Caenorhabditis elegans: one gene and its partners. The protein of the gene in region 2 purifies or fractionates together with the protein of the main gene of each other region. This does not show direct contact. Each region holds a gene or a part of one and is shown on either strand. Other genes may lie near its edges.

Evidence for each region.
Region 1: the proteins of knl-3 (region 2) and kbp-3 purify together in Caenorhabditis elegans (affinity purification with mass spectrometry, with the first as the bait; one study listed by BioGRID). This does not show direct contact.
Region 3: the proteins of knl-3 (region 2) and hcp-4 purify together in Caenorhabditis elegans (affinity purification with mass spectrometry; one study listed by BioGRID). This does not show direct contact.
Region 4: the proteins of knl-3 (region 2) and kbp-2 purify together in Caenorhabditis elegans (affinity purification with mass spectrometry, with the first as the bait; one study listed by BioGRID). This does not show direct contact.

Annotation. Positions count from the first base shown.
Region 1 is NC_003280.10:14,388,690-14,391,774, reverse strand, and holds kbp-3 (Kinetochore-binding protein 3), read left to right. Parts: upstream 1-1,696; 5' UTR 1,697-1,709; coding exon 1,710-1,863; intron 1,864-1,918; coding exon 1,919-2,047; intron 2,048-2,090; coding exon 2,091-2,184; intron 2,185-2,449; coding exon 2,450-2,477; 3' UTR 2,478-2,539; downstream 2,540-3,085. Other genes in the region: nurf-1 (DDT domain-containing protein), read right to left, coding at 1-91, 763-1,055; F26H11.8 (uncharacterized protein), read right to left, coding at 2,951-3,085.
Region 2 is NC_003283.11:1,867,177-1,871,086, forward strand, and holds knl-3 (Kinetochore NuLl), read left to right. Parts: upstream 1-2,036; 5' UTR 2,037-2,037; coding exon 2,038-2,604; intron 2,605-2,657; coding exon 2,658-2,948; intron 2,949-3,011; coding exon 3,012-3,185; 3' UTR 3,186-3,382; downstream 3,383-3,910. Other genes in the region: T10B5.3 (Small-subunit processome Utp12 domain-containing protein), read right to left, coding at 625-863, 913-1,140, 1,192-1,385; T10B5.4 (aralkylamine N-acetyltransferase), read right to left, coding at 3,400-3,558, 3,840-3,910.
Region 3 is NC_003279.8:3,862,309-3,867,515, forward strand, and holds hcp-4 (HoloCentric chromosome binding Protein), read right to left. Parts: upstream 3,631-5,207; 5' UTR 3,630-3,630; coding exon 3,585-3,629; intron 3,480-3,584; coding exon 3,273-3,479; intron 3,224-3,272; coding exon 3,017-3,223; intron 2,968-3,016; coding exon 2,845-2,967; intron 2,793-2,844; coding exon 1,807-2,792; intron 1,755-1,806; coding exon 1,195-1,754; intron 1,150-1,194; coding exon 1,000-1,149; intron 950-999; coding exon 627-949; 3' UTR 525-626; downstream 1-524. Other genes in the region: guk-1 (guanylate kinase), read right to left, coding at 190-244.
Region 4 is NC_003281.10:4,902,684-4,905,587, forward strand, and holds kbp-2 (Mediator of RNA polymerase II transcription subunit 21), read right to left. Parts: upstream 1,202-2,904; 5' UTR 1,188-1,201; coding exon 1,092-1,187; intron 1,045-1,091; coding exon 829-1,044; intron 781-828; coding exon 601-780; 3' UTR 501-600; downstream 1-500. Other genes in the region: tag-340 (START domain-containing protein), read left to right, coding at 1-122, 172-278; F26F4.8 (C2H2-type domain-containing protein), read right to left, coding at 1,369-1,444, 1,492-1,589, 1,636-1,755, 1,799-2,068, 2,118-2,232, 2,281-2,371, 2,418-2,520, 2,589-2,624.

The DNA of each region.
Region 1 (3,085 bases), on a different chromosome or scaffold from region 2:
TTCTTCAGAATCCTCATCCATGTAGATAATGTCTTCTTCTTGGCGTTTTAGCGATTTGCGACGTGGTGGAGTTGGATTTTTTTTGGGTCGGCTGAAAATTGATGGAATTTATTTTTAATCTGAACAGGCAGATTTATATAGCTTCTAAATATTCTTAATTTTGCAAAATTGGGATTTTTCAGAAAAATTCCCAATTTTTTGGAAAAAAAATCCATGATTGTGAAAAAAAAATCTCAATTTTTGAGTAAAATTCCATTTTTCTGAAAACAAAATTTAATTTTTTTGCGGAACACTTTATTTTTGTTTTTCTTGATTATGCAAATTGTAGCCTCGTTTTCAGGCGTTTTTCCGCAAAACTATCATAAAAAGAATTTTGAATTTTCGATTTCTGAAAAAATGAGAAAAAATCAAGAAAACCCGAAAAATTGGCCGGAGAACGCAAGCATAGTTCCTTCGGAATTTGAATATTTGCAAAAATTCGAAACATTTTGCAGTTGTATTCGGTATTACCCAGGCGCGAAAATATGATCTCGAAACGACAAATTTTTGTACATCGCAAATGGGTTTGCATAGTTTTTCTTTAAATCTAAATAATTTGTTGTGAACGACGTGAAAAAGCGTATTATACGTTTTTTCGATTGAAAATTTGACGAAAGCGGAAATATCCTAAGAATTTGCGTTAAAACTTGAAAAAAGCATTTAATTGAAAATTATCTGAAATCAGCGGAATTTCTGAAATTATTTTTCTTCTTGATTTCTCACCCTCTAGCCTTCGAGGTACTCTTTGGTGCTGGTGTTGACGCAGGTGTAGATCTAACCGAGATCTCTTCAATCTTCACCTCCACCTCCTCGGCGTCTGATGGTGTTTCCCGTTGAGCCGCACGTTTTTTTGTTGGCGGTGGACTGTAACCGTCGTCAAAATAACGTTTCGGAAGTCGACTGCGGCGTGGACGAGATGATGATGTGGATTCTGATGGGTCTTCTGAATCGGCAATTGAAGAATTTCCGGATTCAGACGGATGCTTTCGCTTTGAACGGCCACGTGGTGGAGCCATCTGAAAAAATTTCGAAACTTTTCGAAAATCGATAAGCTTAAGAATGTTCGTCAAAAAATATTGAAAGCCTCGAAAGGAATAAATTTAAAATCAAATTAGAACACTGGTAATTGTGAAAAAGAGCTTGAAATCCAAGAAAAAAAGATTTTACGTCATCATATGGTCTTTGGAGGAAAATCAATAAAATTTGCGAGAAATGACAATCGGAATATAACATTATTAGATAAAAATACATTAAAAAAGGATCCAGGATTGGTAAACTACAGTACGAAATCTTAATTTTTGAAGCTGAAAAAATCGATAATGGGATAAAACTCATTTTCCAGCGGAAAATCGGCTTTTCTCAAGTGGAAACATAAAAAACAATGGGAAAAAAGGAAAAATAATAATTTTCCGAAATTTTCCTTCACTTTTCCGTCTAAATAATCAGTTTGGACACTTTTTTGAACGCGCCGCGCCGTAAATCGACTCAGTGCGAGAGGCACACCCTAAAGGCGCACACATTTATTTGCAATGGTCGCGACGAGACCTTGGCCCTCTTGACGCGGGAATTTGAGTTGGAATTTATCTTTGCTAATTTTGCTGTCGCATTTTTATTTATTTATCTTAGTTTTTAACCGATTTTCATTGAATTTTTGCAGGTTTTTCGGCAAAATGGAGTCACTCAACGAGTATATGGACAAGATTATTAATCGTCTTAAGGCAGTCAATGAGAAAGACGAATTAGTTGATGAAGGAATGCGGAAACTCCAAAAATGCCAGGAAAAAATTATGAAAACGAGAATCGATGCTCAAAAACATATCGATGGTAAATTTGCAAGGAAATTGTTTAGATGTGTGCATAAAACAAAACATTTGTTCAGAACGCCACGAGCAACAGTCATTCGAACAACAGCTACTGAACAAAAATATGTTTGAAACTGAGCAACTGGAAGAAAAACTAAAAAGATTGGACGATGAGAACAAAATTGGAAATGAGCGGGAATTTAACAGTAAGCTGATAGTCTTTGAAACAATTTATCTGATTTACTCCAGAAAAATTGGAAGCAATATCTGCGAAGTGGACGGATGACGTCAATCTCTTGAAAACCACGCCGAATGAGCCTAACGATGGGAATAGAAAGAAATTGTAAGGGATTTAATTAAAAATAAGTTTTGTGAAGAAACTGCTCAAAAGTTTTTAAAATCTGGACTAAAATCTTCAGTTTTGCCTACTTTACTGTGTGGCTGGCAGCAGTCGGAACTTAATGTTTATTTAATTATTATTATGCGGGCGGCACTGAAGAGCGGTAAAAATTTTGATATTTCACCACCAGACTCGTTTATATAGGTCCATTTTAAAGCTATTTAACCAAAAAATCCTTCTTTATAAACTAAACGTGTATTTTTTTCAGATCGAACCTCTCCAACATCTTGGTCTAACTCTGGTTTTCATCCACGTATCAATTATGCCTTCTTTTCATGTATATTAAATCATTTCATTTATTATATTGTTATCATCATCACATTTCAATAGTTTCCAATTGTTCCGTAGAAGGTATTAGGGAAACTCTTCTCTCTTCCGTTCGAGGAAAATTTGTTCAAAAGTTCCCAGGTGTTAGCGGAAGATTGTGGATTTTCTTGTGATGTCGTGGTTTCTACAGGAGCCGGTCTCACTCTTGCCAGGGATTCTTCAGAAGAAGAGGATGATGATGAGGAAGACGAGGACGACGACGAAGAAGACGATGAAGATGTGGAGGAGGATGGACAAGAAGCAGAAGCTCTCCGATTCAAAGTTTTCGGGCAAAATTCTCCATTTGGATTCACCTCGCAATCGTGATGAATTTTCCACGCGATGAACTTGTCCAGGTACACATTTCTATAATTGGAATTTTTCTATAATATTTGGAACATTTTTATCTCTGACAACCCGGATGCAATGGGGCCTGCCTACAATCGACGCCTTTTCTCTGTCTTCCCTGGATTTTGGATCTCGCTGCAAACTTTCTCGCAGCTTTCGGAATGCCAAGCTTCACGCAAATCTCGTACGT
Region 2 (3,910 bases):
ATTCTACAAAAGATATATAAATTCTCTTGGTTTAACTGAAAATATCATCTTTTGTAGCTGAAAATGCCTAAAAACTGTCCGAAAGTTGCCGAAAAATCGGTCATCGGCAACTTTCAGGCAATTTTTCTGCTCTTTTTCCAATTTTTCCACTAAAAATAATGTTATTTTCAGTAAAAACAAGTGAATTTCTATGTTTTGAGACTGATTTTATTGAAAAATTTGGGAAGTACAGGCTTTTTGTAGAATTTTCCGAAAATAATTGAGAACAGGAATATTCACCTTATTATATACTAAAAACCGCGGAAAAATCTGATTTTTAATGTTTTTTTATAAAAAACCTGCAAAAATTCATTTTCCGAGCTTATCTACAAAAAATTCTATTTTGCCGCATTCTCTCGGTTTATATGAAAATAACACACTTTTCAGCAGAAATATTGGAGAAAATGCCCAAAAATTGCCTGAAAGTTGCATTTTTCTGCGTTTTTTTCCACTTTTTCCACTAAAAACAATGCTATTTTCAGATAAACCAAGTGAATTTTCACTGAAAAACGTGGGAAACACAGGCTTTTCCGCTGGAAAATATCTTGCGCGTAATTTTCCGCGAAAATCCGCTCAAAATATTACCATTATTGAACACAACCAACGGCTGCTGCACAATAACCACATTATTAGTTCGTCTCTTGATAAGATCAGCGATTGTGGATATTTTTCCGTGAAGAGCCAACAAATCTCGATGATGACCGACTCTTGAGCGCAGCCAGCCGATTAAACCGCCAATTTCCTTCTCCAAATTCGGAAGTGAGCTGAGATAAGGCATGTGAATTGAGAAGGCGATTTGAGCCCATCGGATGGTTGGACGAATGCTGGAAAATCAATAAATTAGGAGGAATTAGTACTAAAAATTCGATTTACTCTGCAGCATTCCTCGTTTTCAAGCGAGATTCGATGATTTTGAGCAATGGCAAGACCTGCATCGGCTGGAGATCACGGAGGGTAGCGTGAATAATTTCAGAATTCAAATTTCTAATGACTGAGTCGATTTTTGCACTATCATTAGCCATTATTCCCTGAGTAAGCAGAACACATTGTGATCCACCGCCGCTACCACTCGTTTTTCCCTTTTTGAGTTCAGAAGTTGGCCTGAAAATCGGAAATAATTGAATATTATCGAAAATCCACCAATAATCCTACGTGGCTGGCTCTTTTTCACGATCTCCGAGCGGTTTGTTGGCCTCTTTCTCCGATTCACTCAGTTTTTTCCCATTTCGAAGCGAACCGTTAATATGCGAATGCCCATTTACTACAGGGGACTCGATTTTCTCAGGAGTTGCAGGAGATGTAACTGCCGCCACATTTGATTTCCTGGCTTTCCGTTCTCGAGCCATTTTCTGGAAACTGCAAAAAAATATTGGAAAATTCGATTTTAAGGCCATTTTACGCACAATAATCGCAAAAAAGATACATTTCACGGTAAAAAAGCTTTAAAAACTAATAAGAACAATAAAAAATCAATAAAATACGCCTGAAAACCATGAAAAACTCTTCAAAAACGCCTGGAAATAAGGAAAATAAAGATTAAAAATTTTGCACCGCAAACGCGCAAGCGACGAGAAATGCGTCAGTGACGGGGTTGGCGCGGCAAATTAACCCCGCGAATTTTGAACGTGACCCCTTCATTCGGTGGATTTTGGGCCCAAAATTTGCGATTTTCTCTTATTTCCATTTCATTTGCGGCAGTTTTTTCCGGAAAATACACGAAACTGGCTTATTTCAACATGAAAATCCAACTTTTTTAAGCGAAAATTGTCTAAAATTGAAATAAAAATGCAGAAAACGGGTTTGTCTATCTGAAAATAATGTTTTACGGCATTTTTCGGCAAACTGCAAGCTTTTTAACAAAAATGAGTTTTATTTTCAAATAGAAAAACCCGTTTTCTATCAATTTTAGATCAAAAAAGTTGGATTTTCATATTAAAATAAGCCATTTCTTTGTTTTCAACGTTATTTTCTCATTTTTAATCACTAATTCATTTCAGAATGTCTCAAAAATCAAACGACACCACATTCTCGGTCAGAGCCGCGCTCTTCGCATCACCCGTCGGCTCATCATCAGCAGTTCCAAAGAAGAAAGTGGCTCGAGAGGTGCCACGTGCAGGGCCGCCAGTTTTTGCCCTCGAGCACGATGTTTCGGAAGTCACCGACAGAAATAAAGACGGCACCTTTCTGGCTGCAGACGCGTGCGCTAGTGGCCCTACTTTGAAGGTTCCAGACGAAACACAAGGTTGCCCAGAAACTTTCAGTGTTTCGGAACACGAAGATGACGACGACGTTGAGCCGATGGAAGTTGATGGAACCATCGTTCCGTCGCCCCAGCGAGCAACGCCGACACGTGGCGTAACTCCTTGCGAAAAATCGACGACTCCACGCAGAAGATCCTCGAGAAAGTCGATGCCAACGCCTGGGAAGCGTCTGTTCTTCACCAGCAAAGACACTACGAACGAGGATCGCAAGGCTGATGACTCGACGCAACTGGAGCTTCTGATGGCAAAGATTCCGCAGGAGATGTCGGGTTACATGAAAAAGTTGGCCACCGACATCAAAGAGGTAGTATTATCGATTTTTAACTTTACATTTAAATCTAAAATTTTCATTTTCAGATGAGCCAATACGATGCACAGCTGGCGCGGAATATCGACGACATGGAAGCGGTTTTCAAATCCCGCGAAACTAAGCTCAAGTCAGCTATTGAAATCGCCAAGGACAGCTTCATCTCGTCCGCTCTGCCTCTTCGCCTCGAGACCCTGGACATGACTCTGCGTAAAGAAGAATCGCCAAATGATATCGTTGCGAGACTTCACGGAAGTTTTCTCGACAAAACCCAGGATGCCGGAAACGTGAATACTGCACAAAAGGAGAACCAGCAGCTGGAGGATGAGCGCGGGATGCTGGTGAGAGTTTCAAATTATTTAAATATGATTTTTAAAAATAAAAATACAATATTATATTTCCAGGAAGAAAAGCTGGAGAGTCTCAACAAGATCAAGAGAGAGAAGGATGAATTTCTGGCGAAAATGCGAAAAGAGGAAGAGGAAGCGCTCGCTCGCCGGGAGGAAATCAAGCAGGGCTTCGAGCGAATCGATGCTCTAATGAGCAAAATCAAGCCGATTCCAATTTTTGAATTCTGATTTCTGATTTCTCACGCTCTGTATAATATTCTATTTCTGACACAATTGATTTCATAAATACATGTATAATATTTTATTCATAGCCTAGGTCTTGCTTATTAAGTGTCAATTTCATTACGTGTACTTTAATTATTGGTTTTGAGTATCTGAAGTTGAGATCCTAGCTGCTTTGGTCCTTTATAAATATATGTTTCTTTAATTTGAGTTGCTATCGCTATCGAAGGTCGTCCTCTTCCTCCTCATTTGCATGTTTTTCTAGCTTCTTCCCCATTAGTTTCCCGCTGACTCCACCGTCGACGAGGTTCTCGAAAACCACGTCGCCATTGTTTCGAAAACAGGAAAATGGCATTTCGCGAAGTGTTGTGAGACCACACTGGAATTTTATTAGTTTTTGAAGCTTTTAGATCGAAAATTCATCGAGGCACCACGGATTCAAGTGCCAACGCAAAGAAACGGGCCAGATCCGATATCCCACCGGTTCTAGATTTCGTGGTGCCTCAATTGGTCTTGCCACGTGGTCAAAGGTCTCGCCACGCTTCCGATGTGGTGTGTGTGCCTTTAAACACGGGTACTGTATTTTTTATAGGTTTTCTGACTTTTCGCTCTATTTTTTTCGTAAAAAGCGGAAATTTTATTGAATAAGAAACTACTATCCTTGCTGAAAATATTCTGAGAAGCCACAGCAGTTGCAACGGTTGCCACGTACTCGCAATCTTCCTTCACAG
Region 3 (5,207 bases), on a different chromosome or scaffold from region 2:
AAATCCGAGGAAAACGAGGAAGAATTCTCAGAAGACTACCATAAACTTTTTTGCGCGCCGAGACCCATCTGAATAAATCCGTGCGCCTTTAAGAAGAATCTTAGAATACATGGAAAAATCTTGTAAAGTGACAACATTTCAAAACGAAAAGCTGATTTTTTTCTGGAAAAGCGCGCAAAAAAGACTTACTAAACGATTGACAGGACGGCCGCCAAAACCAGGCGACACGGGAGGTGGCGTGCATGAATACCTCAACGGGCCGTCGCTTATTTATACCCCTCGCCTCTTCGTAAATATCCAAATCTTATATATCCGGTATATATCACGCTTATGACGACGACTTAGTGATAAATATGTGTATGTGTGTGTGTGGCTCAGCCGGATATACAACCCATTAGAGCAAATTGAAAATCGCTAATCTGAATTTTTGCTAGGCATATGGAGGATGTCGCGCAAATTAAAGAAAAATAAATAAAATTTATTGGAACAATTCACCAGATATAAACTAAACATAAAAAAGGATTGACAGATTCAAACTTTATTCCCTTTAAAATTGCATTATTTACAGGTATTGGGATTAGATGGGTTTTTTGACATTGCTAAATAGTGGAGCAATAGTTATTTCTTCACATATCATCTTCTTCATCGTCGTCACTATCGTGACGTCGCCCACTTCTTGCATTCTGTCTTTGTTGCTTCTTTTCCTGCGCCAAAGCCCTTTTGTTGGCCTTATCTTTCAGCTCTCGCTCGGTTGCTGTTCTGACGTCAGCAGTTCTGTAATAGCACAAACGCGGATCCTTGATGACAACGGCCGTCACACCAGTCAATCGCTTGCAGCCACTAATCGGCGAATTGACATAAACCGGTTGTTCTCCAAGCCACGAACGAACAGGCTTCACGCGGACACGCGTCGATCTTCGGACACCGTCTGGAGCATCTTCTGGCTTCACTGAAAATGTTTAAAGTTTCGAATGATTGCATTAATTAATTAAAACTCACTGAGTTGATGCTCTTTCAGTTTCATACCCCTGTGTGTTCTCGGACGTCTGTTTCCTTTAGAATTCGGTTCAGGATACCATGTTTCGTCAACGAATGTGTCGTTTGGGCGTCTTCTCGACGAACTAGCAAGACCAAGAGCAATCGAATCACCTGAAATTGTTTTAAAAACGTTGTTATTTGTGAAGTAACACTCACTAAGAAGCCCGAGTCTTCTAGACGACTTTTTCCTTGGATCTGGACGTGCTTCCATTTCTTCTTCGTCAGAAGAAGATCTCATTTCATTTGTATCGTCCTCTGGAAAATCAATGGCACTGATATCATGTGCAGGCTCTTCGTTGACAGTCAGCGCATTCAATTCGATGTTCAGGGAGCGATTGCTTGAATCTGCTGCCTCATCCTCACCATCGACAATCACACCACCATTTTCAGATCTTTTTTCAATGACCTCCGTCGCCTGATCCTCCTCATCATCCTCCAAAACCATGCGAACAGCGGCTGAAGAAGTTGTAGCAGTAGTCTTCGCAGGCGTATTCTTTCGTGAAGTTTCCTCAAGCAAACGATTAGCATCTTTCATATTCATCCTTTTGACGAGTGAAGCGAAAGTAGGCTGTTCATATCGTCGTGCCGGGGTCACTCGATTCACAGAATCAACGATATCCATCCTAGTCGGTGTTGAGAGCAGTGCAGCCCGAGCACATTCGACATTGTTGGTGGGTCCAATATTACGGATAGAATTATCCGTGTGCCGAATCGATCTGGAAAATGGAGAAATAAGAATAATATTCCGCAATTCGAAAAAAAACATACTTTGGAGTTGCGGCTTTCGATACATGCATTGGCTCCACTTTTTCTGGAACTTCTGGAACCGGCGAAACTCGAGATGCATTGAATGTTGGAGAGATATAAGACGAGCCAATAGAATCCGCTTCCATTGTTCGTTCTTCAGCTACCGATTCCATCTCAATCGTTCGCTCCTTATTCGATTCAGTACTAAGTCTGCTGGTTGCCTTGATTCGTGGCGGCGTTTGAACCACCGGTCTGATCTTTTTTCGGGGATGTTTGAAGAAGTTGGCTCCCGGCGATTGAATTTCTTCCTTTTCGAGCATACTGTTGTGAAGAGGATTAGAAATACTGGCATTACGTCGTTCTCGCTCATCCGAAGTGACTTTCGACGTTCTCCGTTTTTCTCCTCCTTCCATCGTGTTTTGTGCCAGTACTGGAGGCTTCACACCAACACTCGTGGTTCCTTGCTCGTATGCATCTCTTTCTTCAATAATAAACGTCTTTTGAAGAGTTGAATCGTTATTTTCATCTCTGTTAGCTACGTTGAAAGTTCTTTGAAGTGATGACTCATCTTTCTCGGTCGGCTTTGTGAACGTTTTCTGTAGAGAGGAGTGTTCTGCATCTTTAGCCACTGTGACCGTTCCCTGCATTTCCGAGCTCTGATTCTTCTCGATCGTCACCGTTTTCTGAAGTTCTTCAGGAGCATCTTTAGCCACCGTGAAGTTTCCTTGCAGCTGAGAGCTTTGATTCTTCTCGATCGTTACCGTTCTTTGAAGCTGTGATTGCTCTTTTGATGCATCTTTAGCCACCGTAAACGTTCTTTGCATTTCCGAGCTCTGATTCTTCTCGATTGTCACCGTTTTCTGAAGTTCTTCAGGAGCATCTTCAGCCACAGTGAAGGTTTTTTGCAGCTGAGAGCTGTGATTCTTCTCAATCGTGAGAGTTTTCTGGAGTGTTGACTCTCTCTCCTCGAGAATGGTTGGGATAACGACAGACTTGGTGTGAACAGTCTGAAACGATATAAAAGTTAGTTTAAATATCTTTAAAACAAACAAATTTTACCACTCTTTCAGCATCTAGTCGATCGGTATTGACGACATGTGAAATATCAAGCGATCTCAAGGACCTCATCGACGTATCACTCGAGCTCTTGGGAGTTGAACAACTTAATCCAGCTTTTCCACTCTGAAATTATAGATTTATTAAACTATGAACACGCAAATTCATCTCATACCCCTCTGGAATTAGCAATTGGCGAGCCCATCATCGACTTTTCACTGATGTGTTTCGGAAGCGCCGGAATGGCAAAAACCGAAGCGCTTCGGACATTTTGATTCACAGTGTTCTCGCTGTCGCTCTCACATTCGGAGTATTCACGACAAGCAATCAACTCTTTGAAGGTTTTCGCTCCGTACATTTCCTTTTCGAGACGTTTTCTGGCCTGAATATAGTTTATTAGGTGTTGAAAAGATTTTGTGACTGAAATTTACATTGTTAAGCTGTGTTTGTTTCCTTTTCTCCAAAATAGCGAACATCTGCTTCTCAGATAGTCCCTGTTTTCTCCATTCTCGCTCCTCCAAATTTGCACTATCATTCATCATCGATTCATCGACGATAACTGTTGGTTCCTCCAAGTACGACGGTCTTGTATCGTCCAAGCCAGCCTCACGAAGAGCAACGATTTCAGTGATCATTTTCTGAAATAAACAAAATAAGTAAGCAATCAAATTACCATAATGTGGAACTTTTTTTTTGTAAAAATCAAACATTTGTTAAGAATTTTAAAAATCTGAATCACTTACTCGACCAGGAACAATCGTACTGCGGGTTCGCGGTTTTCGATTCATTCTGCAATTTGATATCGTTTTGAAAAAAAGACAATTTTAAGAGGTGAATAAATATAAGCAAACTTCTCGATGTCAAATGGGAGCTAAATTTGAAAGTGGCGGTTTTGCATTGTACAACGGAGCGCGTTTGGTTAGAGGGGGAAGGCTACGAGAAGAGGATAGAGGAAACGTATTTATTGTTTTCTTTTCGCATTCAAAAGGCAAGAAGGTATTATGAGCCAAATATTGATTGATTTTAAGGGAGAAAGACACAGACTTTGTATAAAATAATAGCCGAACCAAGTCAAACGCAGTTTTGAAGAGAGGCCAATCGATACGCTTTGGTGAAATAAAGAAAAATGAATAATACTTCATCGAGATCTATTTATGCTTGTTTTCACGAATTTCAACAAGGCCTCCACGTCCCTAACAGTAGAAAATACTAAACGCAGAATTTATTAGTAGTTTTCTAAATAAAATTCGTGCAATATTAGTTGAGCGGTAGCTCTTTAAAGTACATATTGATTTCAACCAAGTTCTTCGAAAGTTATTTCAAGCGCGTTTTCATTTTTTTTTCTAATGATCCGCAAGAAAATAAAATTTTAAAACGAAAAGAGAAAAATAGAATAAAATCAAAGCCTAAAAATCAGACTCTAAAAATGATTTTTCCCGCCTGTCGGTATCAAGTGTACGGTATTCGTGGTGAGACCCGCGCCCCCGCGCAAAAAATTTTGAACTTTTGCGGAGATGTTTGCACAGACAGCATTTAACTTAACGCAATTTTGCATGCTTTCTATACTTTCGAACATTTATTGAGACCCGAAGAACTCGGGGGATGTCCAATTGGGGGGATTACCAACTCGGGGGATTGGCCTCACCCACAGAACCGTGGTTTGCAATACGCCCATTTCTGCAAATGCCGCACGGTTTTAAAACTGTATTTTTCTCAATAGAGCGAGAATTAACAAGAAAAAATAATTTTAAAACCGTGCGGCAGTTGCAGAAATGGGCGTATTGCAAGCCACGGTTCTGTGGGCGGGACCAATCCCCTGGTAATCCCCCCAATTGGACATCCCCCGAGTTCTTCGGGTCTCCATTTATTTTTTGTTTTTGCCTTTTTGTCTTACAATTTTGAAGGTTTCCCTTCATCGATTTCATCCAAAATTGAGAAAAAATGTTTACAAAATGTATTATTTTCATTTCTTCCAATTTTCTAATTCAGATTTTCCCTAAAACATTTGTGATTCTTGATTTTTTACTTTTATCTATATGAGTGACGTTGTTTTGACAGCATATTTGATCAAATTTCTAGAAATGGTTTGTTTTATCACTACTGTTCATGCCTTCTTAATTTCAAATGATCTTCAAACATTTATATTTGTGTTTTCGGTTATTCTTCATGTGTTTTTTATTTGATTCGTTTCAACCCATCCAAATGCGCGGTCTCTCGCTCGATCTCTCGTCTCTCTGCGTTTCCAGTGTAAAAGAGAAAGGCGAGCAACAACTTCTATCATTTCTCACGTCGCTCGTCAAAATAGTTGTCTTGTTTGTTTCTCAATTTTAACATTCTCTCCTGTTTTGACCATCTTTGAAATTTTT
Region 4 (2,904 bases), on a different chromosome or scaffold from region 2:
ATGCCCAAACAATGGAAATCCGAAAATCGTACGAGGACACAATTTCCCATCCATGATTCGAACATTGAAAGATGAAGCAGGAGTAACTTATTTCGAATGGCTCATGAAGACTGATCTCAAAGGTATGAAAACTAAAACTTTATCAATTTTTCTATTCATTATATTTTTCAGGTGGCCTTCCACGCCGTCTTGTTCACTCGGGAATGGTCAATTACTTCAGTGAGCACGTGAAACGGATGAATGAGTTCGCAGAAACCCATTATCATTGTCCTCCTTGAGATTCAACACAAAATTATATTTTATACCTTGAATGTGATTTACTTTTTTTTTTCTGTAAGTATCTGTCCCCTATTTCCCATCGCTAGATATTCCTGCTAACCTTTATCATGACTAATCACTTTTTAAAGTTTCATACCTCCTTGCCCTTTCTGAATTTTCCCCTCACAATTCCAAACCAATATGAATATTAATTATTCCGAAAGATGTTTTTTTTGAAGAGAAAGTTTTATTTTAGAGACAAACAAAAGTTCAGAAAAATTTGGTAAATAGGAAAAGAAAGATTCAGTTAAATTAAGTGAAGGTTATATTAATATCAAAATTCTACAGCTTTTGCTGTTGTGACTCGACAATTGTTGCAAGCTCCTTGAGCACCTGCTTACGACGAGCTATTTCATCTTCTTCAGCTTTCAGTTCTTTTTCAATCTTTTCGATTTCAGCATCTGCTTCAGTGAGCATTTTCTCGGCAGTTTCGGAGAGGTGCAATGCGACATCTCGTTTTGCCTAAAACGATGAAAATGTGTATATTAATATTAAAATCAATATACAAACATTGACTGGATTATATCCCATTTCTCTTCCGAGTTGCTTATTTAATTCTTCAGATTCTCTCGTCAATTGTTCCATATCATCGAAAAGTTCGTAAACACTATTTTCTTTAATCATTTGATCAGTCTTCTCCAAAACTTTTTGTTGTGTTGATTTCGCCATTCGAGCCATCACAGCATCCACTGCAGCTTTATCCATGTTGAGTTTTCTATGAGAACTCTGAAAATTTTAGTTCTGGATAAAACGTGCAAAAATATCAAGCTTACCATTTTCCACAAATCCTGGGACTCTAACAATGATTTTGTGAATATTTCCAGAGTTGTGTCCAGCATTTGATTCAAGACTTCTTTTCTTTGCGACATGATATTGATTTTATCTAAAACGCGGAAAACTTACAAATACACTTAACAAGAAACTATGAAACGAAATTAAACAAGAAGTATTTTAAAAGTTATGGAACTTCACGCAGGAATAAATTTGAGCAGAAATACAAGTATTATGCATATTTATTTGTTAAATAAAATAAAGGAACATGAAATAGAACTATTCATCGCTTTCGTTTTCTCCTCCAAAACCAATTGTATGTGCGAAGTAGTTTAGATGAAGAGCGAACGCTTGTCTGTAATTATTACTGATCTTCAGAGCAAAATCTTCGAAATAGCCTACCGATTCTCAAACTTTCGGCCGCATCCAGAACATTTGAACGGATCGTCAATTTCGTGATATCCAATGTGCGTCATCCAGAGGATTGCGTCGGTGAAACTCTGTGAAAAATTACGTTTTTAAGATTTTCCAGAGCAAAAACCATACCATCAAGCAATGAGTGCATTGGTATTTCTCGTTATCATTCAATGGGAATAATTCTGCAATCACATCCGATAGTTTCGCGATCATCTCCGAATTGGAAGCTGATGATACAGACATAGCCATCTGAAAATTCAAGTTTCAACCTCTATCATGCTATAAATCCAACCTGCAATTGCTTTAAAATCCCATCATCTTCGTCTGCTTCATAGATTTCTTCCTTGACTTCGATTTCTAAAGCATCTTGAACATCGAATTGCTTTGATTCTTCCTTTGCTCCAACTGAAGTTTTTCTTTCCTTCCGGCTTTGATTCTTTTTCATTCGAAGGAAATCTTTCTGCTTGATAATCATTTCCTCCGCATATTCTTTAAGTTCTCCATGCTTGAATGTGTGATGGAATAGCATTTTACGGAAGGATACTGAAACTTCGGAGCAATCCTGAAATGTTTTGATTAGTTCTGTTTCAATCTATCGATATTTTACTTACCTTGCACTTTATCGATACTGTACCATTCACATGATGAGCTGTATTCGCATGATTCTCGCCCTCTAACATGGTCTCAACGAGTTGATCACATCCTTCGGCACGACAAGGTAGAGTTCTGAACGAAACAGTTTTTCAAAAATTTCAAAATATTTCTTGCAATTACCCTTTGCTGATGTGGTCGAGTGCGTGGAAAAACAGAGTATCCGTTCGATTGAACATTTTGTCGCAGAAATAGCACTCCAACAATTTGTCATCTAAAAATAAATATTGGTTTCATAAATCTAATCGCCTGAAACTAACTGTGCACTTTGATATGACAACGAAGGGATCTTTCAGACGTGAAAAATCGATCACATTGTTTACATTTAACTTTTACATCGGGGGAAGTTGTATTGGCATTCACCTGAAACGTTTTGATTATGATACTTAAAAGTAAAAATATAAAAGCTTTGAATAAATATTAATAATTACCTCGAGAATCGCGGATTCTTCCGGAAGGCCTTCCATTTAACACTGAATAATGATTCACCGTCACCGTCCATATCATCAATCTTACACGTCTCCATGATTATGAGTTGTCAAAAGGTCACGGGAATATTTGACAAGAAAAACGTTTGCGTGTCCTCATTCTTTCTTTTTCAAAACGCGTCGACTGCCGCCAAAAACGGCATTTGGCCTAGCTTTCCGAGAGACTCGGCCACGAATTGGGTACCTATCAAAAACTGATCGATTTGCATAATATTGGATCATAAATTGTAATTAGTTTCAATAAATACAATGCACAATG